3 linked regions of the Xenopus tropicalis genome follow. The protein of the gene in region 3 interacts with the protein of the main gene of each other region in a pairwise test. Links are inferred from orthologs where the notes say so. Each region holds a gene or a part of one and is shown on either strand. Other genes may lie near its edges.

What was found.
Region 1: the proteins of wdyhv1 (region 3) and amot interact in binary tests that used the Homo sapiens proteins (3 or more experiments, as listed by UniProt). The two-hybrid records come from large-scale screens. The link is inferred for Xenopus tropicalis from reciprocal best matches to the Homo sapiens genes NTAQ1 and AMOT.
Region 2: the proteins of wdyhv1 (region 3) and glycogen phosphorylase, muscle form interact in binary tests that used the Homo sapiens proteins (3 or more experiments, as listed by UniProt). The two-hybrid records come from large-scale screens. The link is inferred for Xenopus tropicalis from reciprocal best matches to the Homo sapiens genes NTAQ1 and PYGM.

The regions. Positions count from the first base shown.
Region 1 is NC_030684.2:52,180,850-52,184,505, forward strand, and holds part of amot (angiomotin), read right to left. Parts: intron 1,065-3,656; 5' UTR 955-1,064; intron 453-954; 5' UTR 416-452; coding exon 1-415.
Region 2 is NC_030680.2:40,446,561-40,450,216, reverse strand, and holds part of glycogen phosphorylase, muscle form, read right to left. Parts: intron 2,645-3,656; coding exon 2,533-2,644; intron 218-2,532; coding exon 135-217; intron 1-134. UniProt on the Homo sapiens protein: Allosteric enzyme that catalyzes the rate-limiting step in glycogen catabolism, the phosphorolytic cleavage of glycogen to produce glucose-1-phosphate, and plays a central role in maintaining cellular and organismal glucose homeostasis.
Region 3 is NC_030682.2:139,829,031-139,832,686, forward strand, and holds part of wdyhv1 (protein N-terminal glutamine amidohydrolase), read left to right. Parts: intron 1-1,963; coding exon 1,964-2,063; intron 2,064-2,632; coding exon 2,633-2,683; intron 2,684-3,656. UniProt on the Homo sapiens protein: Mediates the side-chain deamidation of N-terminal glutamine residues to glutamate, an important step in N-end rule pathway of protein degradation.

The sequences.
Region 1 (3,656 bases), on a different chromosome or scaffold from region 3:
GACGACCTTCAGTCCTCATTTTCTGATTTGTCACACCAGTTACATAGAAAGCAGCTCCAACGCTGGTGTGAGGCTGTCCTCTAAAATACTGAGACTGGACTTTGGCCTCCTCATAAGTAGGAAGATCTTCACTGTTCTGAGCTCTCAGTGGTATCTGTTTCTCCATCAGATTCTCCACCTGGATCTCCTGCCCTTGTGGCTCCTGGCGAGCTGCATGTGGAACTAACTGGGGGTCTTGTGAGGTCAGGCCCTCATTTTGGGAACCTTGACCACCACCATATAAAGGCACGTTCCCTGTGGCTTGTTGGTGCAATGCCAATAAGTTGCGGTTCTCATTAGGATTCCCGTAACGCAGCTGCTCCTGCAGCAATCGCTGCAAAACTGTGGTGGCTGCTTGCTCTTCTGAAGTCCTCATCTCCAATGTTGGCACCTCAGGCTGAAAACCAAATGACCTAAAACAAATTAATAGTAGTTTATTGCATGAAAGCTACTGCATGGTCTACTGCCTGCTTTAAACTTCCATTATAAAGAAGGTACTGTTTAATTTACCCCATTGAATGTAAATTTTACAAGAAAATTTAGTAGCCAGTTAAATAGGGGTGATATAAAGTAAAGTAGTATTAAGAGGAAGATTGCATTAGTTGCCGCGGGTGACTAATCTCCCCGCAATGCCATCCCACCAGGTAGAATGTAAATCACCGGTGGGATGGCATACACGGGGCCGCAATTTGCCCTAAGCTTCCTCTCAAGGCAACTTCGGCAAATCACGGCGCCGCATATGCCATACCACCGGCGATTTACATTCTAGCCAGTGGGATGGCATTGCAGGGAGATTAGTCGCCCGTGACAACAGAGATTTGTAGCTGCGCGACTAATCTCCCCGTGTACCCCTGCCCTAAGATTAGACCAAATTTCCATCTCTGCTGTATTTACACATTGATTATTTTTTTTTACCTATTTCTGCTCTTTTTCTGCTGTCGCAGACCACCGGCTTGATGTGTTTCTGTTCATGAGGGTATCTGGGGACCAAAAGAAAGACTTCTCAGTCTGTAATATTCTTCGAGCTGTAAAACAAATGTTTGCCTTTTAACAAGAGCAATATAACTACAAAACATACAGGTATTAGAAATACAGAACCATGTGCCAATATAGTGAAATTCTAATCCCACTGTATTTCAGAATTTAATATATTAATGTGATTTTGAATATCATTTATTAAGTCAATATTTATAACAAGAGATGCATTGTATCACACATTATCTACAGATTTGTTCCTGCTGCAGAAGCTCTAGAACAGAGATTCCAAACCTTTTATACCCGTGAGCTACATTCAAGCGTTGGTGAGCAACACAAGCATGAAAATAGTTCCTGGGGGTGCCGATAGGAGCTATAATTGGCTATTTAACAGCCCCTAAGTGAACTGGCAGCCTACAGAAGGCTGTGTTTGGCATTATACTGGGTTTTAATGCAATCAAAATTTGCCTCCATGCCAGGAATTCAAAAATGACGACCTGGCTTTAAGACCATGGGGAGCAACATCCAAGGGGGTAGTGAACAACATGTTGCTCATGAGTCACTGGTTGGGGATCACTGATCTAGAACATAAAATCGAATTATTTTTTGAGTGTGCCACTATTATGCATTCTAGATCAGATATAGACAGGCAGTAGTACATTTATACAGCGAGATTAGTTGTACACTTCTTAACAAATTAACTACCTCACAAGGACCAACCATGGAGTAGCTTTTTTCTTTTAGCTCAATGAATAACAGAAATCATACATTTAAATATAAAAAATGTACTTACTGACTAATTTTGCCACTTGAATTTTTTTTTTCTACCAAGTTTTAAAAATTCACATCAAGGAGCAAAAACACCAGTTCCCTAAATTCAAGTGGATTTCAGACAGACCTACCCCATATCCTATCCTTTCACATATTTTACAACAATCATTACTATGCTCTGAATTAAAGGACATAAAACAAGCTGGAACACTAAAGCTGTCCATACACGTGACATTTGCCTTATTTTTCAGGCATCTGATTGAGTGTACCTTTCTTCTTTGCAAAGGCCAGATATTGGGACAGAGATGATGACATTAGATGACATCAAGGGGAAGTATGATGCAGCTGCCACTAATTGGCTGAATACTGCATCAGTCACAGAGCTAGGTTTTAGACCTCTAAAACCCAGAAAGGTAGTTTAGAAACCGGACAGGTGGCAACCATAGATGGTTGGGATCTCGTGGAATCTACAGTGAGGACATGGAATCAGATGTGACCTATCTCTGCTCAGATAAGGGGAAGACTTGTGAGAAAAAACACAGAGAGGACAATTACTTAAAGGAGCTAAATATTTCAGTAGCGGAGATGTGAAGTGAGGCGCACTATGTTAACTTTATGGGAGTGTGGCATAAAGAAGCCATTACTCTATTTAAGAACAAAGTGAAAGTACATCTGGAGTTTGGCAAAAAGCACAATCGTCCAGATGCAATGTGAGAAAATATGTTTTTGGTCAGATGAGCACAAGATGAGAAATATGTCAGAACAAAACTTCAGTGTAGGATTTATTATTCAGTAAAATGAGAACATTGTTCAACGGTTTACACAGATTTGCAAGGCACCATGTATACATCATATTGTTGTGTTGTGCCCCAGAACTGATCCCTTTTATTCTACTCCAGGCCACCCCTAAGTGAATCACATAACTCTGTGTTTTTCTTCAAGTAAAAAGATAAAAATTCCTTTGATGCTCAGCAAACATGAATTCATTGAGCGCACCTCTGCTTTGAAGTTTATCCTCAGGATAGCAAATGATCCGAGCATCTTATGGCTGCTCGTTAAACAGAAAGCTCCGTGTCCTACTACTAAATTACATTCAGAAGACTAAAGGTGGATTATTTCAAAGCAACACTTTTCCATCCTTGCTATTCACATTACACTAAAGTAACAAAATACCCTATCATGGTTAACCTCTCACCTCTCCACCTCGTAGGACACTGGTTTTGTTGAAACCCCCTGCAACCTTTGCACGTGTTGTCAGGGAACCATGATAAATGAAACACTTCCTGTGACAGCGAGTCTTATTCACAGTCAATAGCTCATACTTAAGTTTACACTACTGAATTATAAATATTGAAGGTTTAGGAACCAGTAAACTATAAGGGACACAAAATAATTTTATTAAAGGGGCAGCATACACCTATATTTGCCTCTTTTAACCACGTGCAAAAATAAACAGATTAAGATGAGAATACATTCTGCCTATACTTTTTATGCATTTTTTGTTGAATTAGTTTAATTAGAGCTTCATAAGGAGTTCTGCTTAAGTAAACCCTCACACTTCTGTTTATCTGTAAACCAAAACAGTAACAACAAAGGGGTAACCTTTGGTGTGACTTTCTAGATCACAGATAAACAGAAGTCCATTATTCAGGTCAGTGCTGTCCAACTTCTACAGTGCCGAGGGCCGGAATTTCTCTAGCATACATGGTAGAGGGCCGCTAATGGAAGCCAGTTTTGACCACCCCCCTTTTTGAAACCACACCCACTTCAAACCACACCTATTTTATCACAATGGTGGTAGCACAGCAAAATCCCAAATGCTTGGTCCTTACTGTGGGGATATCAACCATCATTCATATGTGAAAGAATTA
Region 2 (3,656 bases), on a different chromosome or scaffold from region 3:
CCCTGCCCTGAAGCCCAAGACTCCACTGCATATTAAATATGATGCCTACTAGTGGTAGAAATAGTTATACAAACAAATATTTTAAATGGATAGGTAAAGTTCCATATTAAGAACAATTATAATAAACCACTTACATTATCATTGGGATATAGAACTCGAGAAATGTTCTCAGCAAGATTACGGTCCAAAACTGCTTGGATGTAACCACCCACGTTAACTGAAAGAAGCAGAAATAAGGCAATCTTTAGACATTATGGATATGCTCAGAAATTTCTATTCACTTGTGATGAACGAATCTGTCCCGTTTTGCTTAACCATAAAAATCGCAAAACGGCAGAAAATTTGCGGAATACATTTGTCGCACGATTTTCAACGCGCCCACAACCAATTTTGAAATGACCGTGCCCAATTTGACACGTGACAAATTTTTTTTATGTGCAGTGAATTTTTCCGCAGCAAATTTTCACGGTCCGCTAAATGATTCGCCAATGGCGAAATGCGGTAATTCGCTGCGAATCCATGCCTGCCGAAAAAAAATCGCTCATCACTGCTATTCACTACTATTGTATGTATGTATGTATATTTTTATTTATAAAGCGCTACTTATGTACGCTATTCAGAAATGCTTTTCTAAAGGTCCTTAAAGGAAAACTATACCCCCAAACAATATAGGTCTCTATAAAAATATACAGGTATGGGATCCCTTATCCGGAAACCTGTTATCCAGAAAGCTCTGAATTACAGAAAGCCCGTCTCCCGTCAATTAATGGAAAGATGTCTAATGGTTTCAAATTTGCCATTTTCAAATTTTTTGATATAGAATTACTAAAAGGTTGCCACGTGTGACATTCTGTAGTGATCTTGACAACCCCCCCCCCCCATAGAGTCACTTACTATAGACCCCTGGCCAGCGCCCCCTTCTTCCAAAAATGCACCAGACCAGGGTACTTCTCTACTCAGCCCTGTGCTGCCATACTTTCCCAGTGCCCCAGTATCATCTGTGCTTGGACAGCACAGAAATTGCTATGGTGCTGATAAGAAAAGTACCCAGGTTGGTGCATTTTTGCAAGACAAGCTAGGGGTGTCTAAAAACTCGACACCCCACAGTCATTCTACGTTTCCTAAGCCATAAACATATGGTAAGGAGCTTTGACTTAATTGTTTTTTGCTAAGACTTTGCCCGAAGACTACAGATAACAAAACTGCCATCTTTTTTTACAATCTGATAAAAACAGGCTTGTAAAGGAGCATGCAAGACATTGCGATTAGTGATGAGCAAATTTTTTTGGCAGGAATGAATTTGCAGTGAAATTCCACATTGTGCCATTGGTGAATTTTTTCATGAAACTACAGAAAAGATTCGCCGTGTAAAAATTCGGTGAGACAAAAAGTTGCTGCAAAAAAAACACCCACTGACTTTAATGCATTTGGAGTAAGGAAAAAAATAAAAATGTTGCCCATGTAAAAAACATAATTTTTTTTTTTAAATTCAAGTTTGAGTTTTTTCCTTAATTCATTAATATATGAGATAATCATTTGTGAAACCTCAAATAGTCACAGAGAATCAGAGAAACAAACACAGTAATTTTCATGAAAAAACCTGGCAAGTTTACATGATTACTCTGTACAAGCACATTAGAGGGGAATATAGGCAGATGGGGGGTGTTTTTTTTCCCTTAAAAACGATCAACGCACAAGAGGTCATTTGAAGAGCTTCCATTTGAAGCAGCGTAGGTGGTTTTTCACGGTGAGGGCAGTGAGGTTGTGGAATGCCCTTCCTAGTGATGTGGTGATGGCAAATTCTGTTAATGCCTTTAAGAGGGGCCTGGATGAGTTCTTGAACAATCAGAATATCCAAGGCTATTGTGATACTAATATCTACAGTTAGTATTAGTGGTTGTATATATAGTTTATGTATGTGAGTGTATAGATAGGTAATTATAGGTTGTGTGTGCTGGGTTTACTTGGAAGGGTAGAACTTGATGGACTCTGGTCTTTTTTCAACCCAGTATAACTATGTAACTATGTAAGTAAAATTTGTCTATTTTCTACAGAAGTAAACAAACAACTTTATTAAACTTTAGTTTATTAAAACATTCAGGATTTTTAGGCATATTGAAAATAAATGGAACATTGTGATTTTTACTTGTATGCTATTTTTTTACACTTACTTTTCTTGAGTCTTTTTTTAAAATAAGCTACTACTCAAGGGGAAGAAGGCATTGCTTAAAAAAGATTGTGTGGGTTTTCTCAGGTTTATTTTCAAAGGTTTGTTTTCTCAACCTTAGAAATTGGTAAATCAACCTCCCCATTGGGCTTTTACAAATAGAAGCATCTACTTTTTGATATAAACCAAAGAAAAGGTTAAATAGTCAGAAACACCTGAATTTATATTGAATTCTAGGCATACAGTATATTTATTGATTTAAAATGATGAAACAGTAAAAAATATAAAGGTACAAAAGTATAACATAGCAAGCAAATATTATAGAGGGGATGTGTTAAAGCATAGATATTGGTTCCTCCACTTACAGTCTTTCAAGTTGAACTCATTGGGAGCTTTTGCTGACCAAAGTCTCATGGTGTTCACTGTATTGTTTTTGTATCCTGGAACTGGTGTATCATATGGGAGTGCAAGGACAACCTGAAAAATGTTACAAAAGAAAAGCAACTGATCCTAGTGCTCTAGTGGTAGCTACTTATCAATGTCTATATGACAGGCATGAAGCAGGATGCAGCCAAATACATGATATCTGGTCTTTATGTATTTTGGGCATATGTTTTTATGGCCACTATTATACTAACCCCTTTTCATCTGCACCTTAAAGGGGATCTAAACCTAAGAAAATAAAGTGGTGTAAACACAGTTAAGCCAATAGACTGGTATGAAAAGTATAAAAATGCAAATATCTCAGAAACTCCTAAAATAGAAGATGAATGTAACTTGCAAAGGTTCTCACAGAAGTGTTATAATTCATTTTTTGGGTTTAGATCCCCTTGAATGTCAAAACTTGGTTACCTTTAAGTCTCCATAGATTTGTATTTATGTTACACAAATCTAAAGAAAACACAGTAATTTGGATTAGAAACTTACAGCCTGGTGCTGGTTCTTCCTCGAGTGCATTATTTTGCATTGTTTGGCATTATATTGCCATTTAAAGCACTTGCATACTCCTTCTGACTTTATACTACATTAATAATTGCAAAGCTCCTCTACAAGGTCAATTTATCAAAGGCTGGGATGAAAATTGTGTTCGAAGAAATTTTTTTTCTTTTTTCTTCTTGCAGATTACATTTTTTTTCCTGTTCAACAATTTTTCATACAATGTCTTGGTGGCATATTTGCAATGAAAAAAATGTAGCAGCTAAAATGTGCTTAGGTCCATTCAAACTAATAGGCAGATTTTGTCTCTTCAAATGGAAATCTTTCTGTCTCTCCATTTATTAGAGAATTCTCATGAGCCATTGAGATTTCTTACGTTGTTTTATCTCTAAAGTCTAAAAGAACCGTGTGCAATGCAAGAAAACCTTGTTTGACCGTTGTCATGCTAAAGAATTTCAAGCAACAAATTATATAATGGTGAACGAGTTAAGACACACCAACTGTTGCACCAATTTTAACCAACAAATATTGCAAGGAATTTCCATAAATCTCC
Region 3 (3,656 bases):
TCTGCAGCTCCAACCTGGCCCAAGGAAAGTCTCCCATAGGGCTCAATGGCACTCTGCAGCTCCAACCCGGCCCAAGGAAAGTCTCCCATAGGGCTCAATGGCACTCTGCAGCTCCAACCCGGCCCAAGGAAAGTCTCCCATAGGGCTCAATGGCACTCTGCAGCTCCAACCTGGCCCAAGGAAAGTCTCCAATAGGGCTCAATGGCACTCTGCAGCTCCAACCGGGCCCAAGGAAAGTCTCCCATAGGGCTCAATGGCACTCTGCAGCTTCAACCCGGCCCAAGGAAAGTCACGATAACAAAGCTTGAGCTTCTGAGCTTTCGTACTCGTTGTGACAATACAATTTTGTCACGCAAAGTACAAAAAAGTCGGGCAAATTAACAAAAATATTGCAGAAAATAGGCAAACGTTGTAAACTTTCGAAAAAATATGATTTTTTTTGTATTGGGACATATTTTGATAAATGTGCCCCTTAGGGTGAAGACTCATAGGGCTACTAGTAGCAGCTACTTGTCGTGGCTACTAAAATAGACAATGCCGATCATTTACTGATAATTGTCTCTACGTGTGTTTTAGCAGATGCAATTCTCATTATTGTCTATGGCAGGGGATTTTCTGGAGTTTAGTAGATGTGAAAAAGTAGCTGCTACTAGTAGCCCAGTGTGTCTTTACCCTTAGGCACTCCTCATGCAGGCCACATTTGGGGTTACCTGAATGAATGTGCCAGTTGGTTAGAGATAAGTGCTGCGCTGATGGGTGGCAGAGTCACCTTGCTGTGTACAGGTGTAGGTTCATTGAGTTCTGGTGTAGAGAGTATATGTAGTTTAGGGACATAAGAGTGTAGTGCAGCTGCCTGTTATAAGCAGCATCTATTTATGTCACCTCCTACCCCCTATGTACTAATCTTCCAAGCCTTATCAAGTTGTCTTCAGTAAGGTTTGGAGAAAGCCAGCTTGGTAGCTCATCACATATAGCATGATAGCACAGGGCGCAGTGTTATGCACTGGTAAGCTCTTTCATTTCCAATTAAACAAAATCTGTGTTGGTATGTCCTCCTTATGTTTGTGTGGGTTGCCACCATATACACAGGCTTCCCTCTTGAGCCTTAAGGTTGCCATACACTGTAAAGGTGGCCATACACACTAAGATCCGATCGCTTGACGTGGATCGGATCTTCTCCCGATATCAGGCTAATTCGGTCATTTGACCCTGGGGCCAAACGATCGAATTAAAATGATGGGTATAGGCGTCGGTCGGTTCGGGCCGCTGCGGGTCCCAATCAGACTGATTTTTAAACCTGCCCGATCGATATCTGGCTGATTTCAGGCCAGATGTCGGTCGAGCATGCCTGTCTTTAGTGCTGATAGGCTGCTGAATCGGCCCGTGTATGGCAGCCTTAAGATCTGCTCACTTGATGAGCTCACCAAGAGAGCAGATCTTTTTCCTATATGCCCACCTATGGGTGTGTGATATTGGACTAAATAAAATGGTGGGCATAGTCACTGTTGGTTCGGGGACCATATCAATGAGCCGTTGCGGTCCCCAATCTAACGTAAAAATCAAACCTGCCTGATCGAGCTCTAGCCGATTTCAGGGAGGTCCATTGTTGGTGCCTATACATGGGCAGATAAGCTGACAAAATGGTCTTAAGGACTTATATGGGCAGCTAAAATTGGCCTGTGTATGGCCACCTTTAATGCATCCACCTTTCATCAAATCCCACAATTTAACCTGCCATTGGATTGTTTCCTTTGCCTTATCTCTGTCACTCTGCTAATCCTATGAGGGGCTTAGAAACCTCCAATGATGTATATACTGTATGGTGAGTTGTATGTAGGATTTTTTAAACAGCTGTGTTGTAAACTGCCTAAACACAACACAATATTTTGTTCACTAGATTGCAAGAAAAGTCCTAATAAAACCATTTCAAAACTAAGGTTTTTTTTCCTCTCTCTCTTTAAAGTGAAGAAAATGTGTGGAAGCTATGCGAGTATATCCGAGACCAGCGACCTTGTGATCTGGATGAGTTCTCAGCTGTGTTTATATCCAATGAAAACAAGATGGTAAGATGACAGCATGGATACAGAACATATTGCTGACTGGGCATTCTGGGTTGCACTTATGTTAGTAAATTGCCCCTTGTGTTTTATGTGTGATGCACCAAGATGCTGTGTGCAAGTCCTGCCTTGGTGATGTGGAGAATCAGGGCATTGCAGAGAGGGTAAAGCCCCAATCTAAGGGTTGAGATACTGAGAGCTGCTTGGGCAACACTGATGTACTGCAAATATTCTAAATATATACACTTTAAAATATCCTTTTTCCCCCCCAAGGGTCTCACTGTGATGCTGAAGCTCCAGATTTCCGCTCCTAATACTATTCCTGGTAATGCAGTTGCACCTGAATACTAATGTACATTCGGGCCTAGTAAGCTGTTTTCCACAATATTCTGTTCCAGAGTTTGCCACATAATACATTTCCTTCTGTGTCTGTCCTGCAGTACAACATGCCTGGCTTGTATATTAGTTCTTGGGAGGCTTATGCAAGATATTATACGTATGTGCAGAAGTACAGAAACAAAGCCATAAAAAGTCAGGTTGGTGAGAATACTCTCATTGCTATGTTCTTCTTTCAGATACCCATTTGGAAGCAGAAATCTGCGAAAGGGGATGGGCCTGTAATATGGGTGAGTAATCAGCCTTTGTAGAAAATATATTTTGCCTTATCTGTATTAGCTGATGTGCACAGGTGATACACAGGAATATTACGACTTTTACAGCAGATGCTGCAGCTGCTGGAAGGTCCAGGTGTTTAGAGGACCCAATGGCCTAGAGGGCCTTAAAATTTTGCTTTGCTCCTAGAAATCTCTACAATGTTGTTATTCTTTCAGCCTCTGCTTCTTTTCATTTGTGTATAGTTCCTGTCCTGTGAAGTAGTAAAACTGTAACATTAGGCTGGTAAACCTTCTGGCTAGCAGAACTGCAGCTGCTTTAGGAGAATGCATGAGGCATCTCTCACATCACTAGGTGGATAGTAGTTAGTCCACCCATGATTGATTCAATGGGGGGAAACAAAGGTGGCATACAATTCAGTTGCAGTCTCATTTCGTTTGGTGCTAAAGGCCAATACCACACATGTTGTTTTAAACTAGGGTGACAACAGGGACATGCCTAATAAATACATGTTGCAGGGCAGCACTGATTGCATTTGATATCAACTGCAATCAGTTTGGTGCTGCTAGCTGGGTTCTTTAGACGTGGCCCTGAATTTTCAAGTGATCTGGTCACCCTACAACTCAGAACAGAATGTGGTGGTGGTCAAAATACCCTTTTAAAAGAAAGGCTACTGGCACACAAAGCTCATCCAAGGGGAACTAGTGCCAAACTATTTATTAGAGCAAAAACAGTATAGAGGCCTGGGTGTGCATGTGGTATTTTTCATTATCTAGGTGGTCAAAATACTCTTTCTCAATTGCCTCCATTTACTATTGAAAATAGTTTGCTTGGCAGAAACAGGTATTCACCCAAAACAAAAATGCTCTCCTTAGTGTTTCAGAGCTCTTCTCAATATTGTTCACCTCAGTTCTTCCCAAGAGCACCATTTTGCTCCAGGGTGTTATAGCCCTGGGGCACAGAGAGTTTAATTAATTTCCTAAAGTC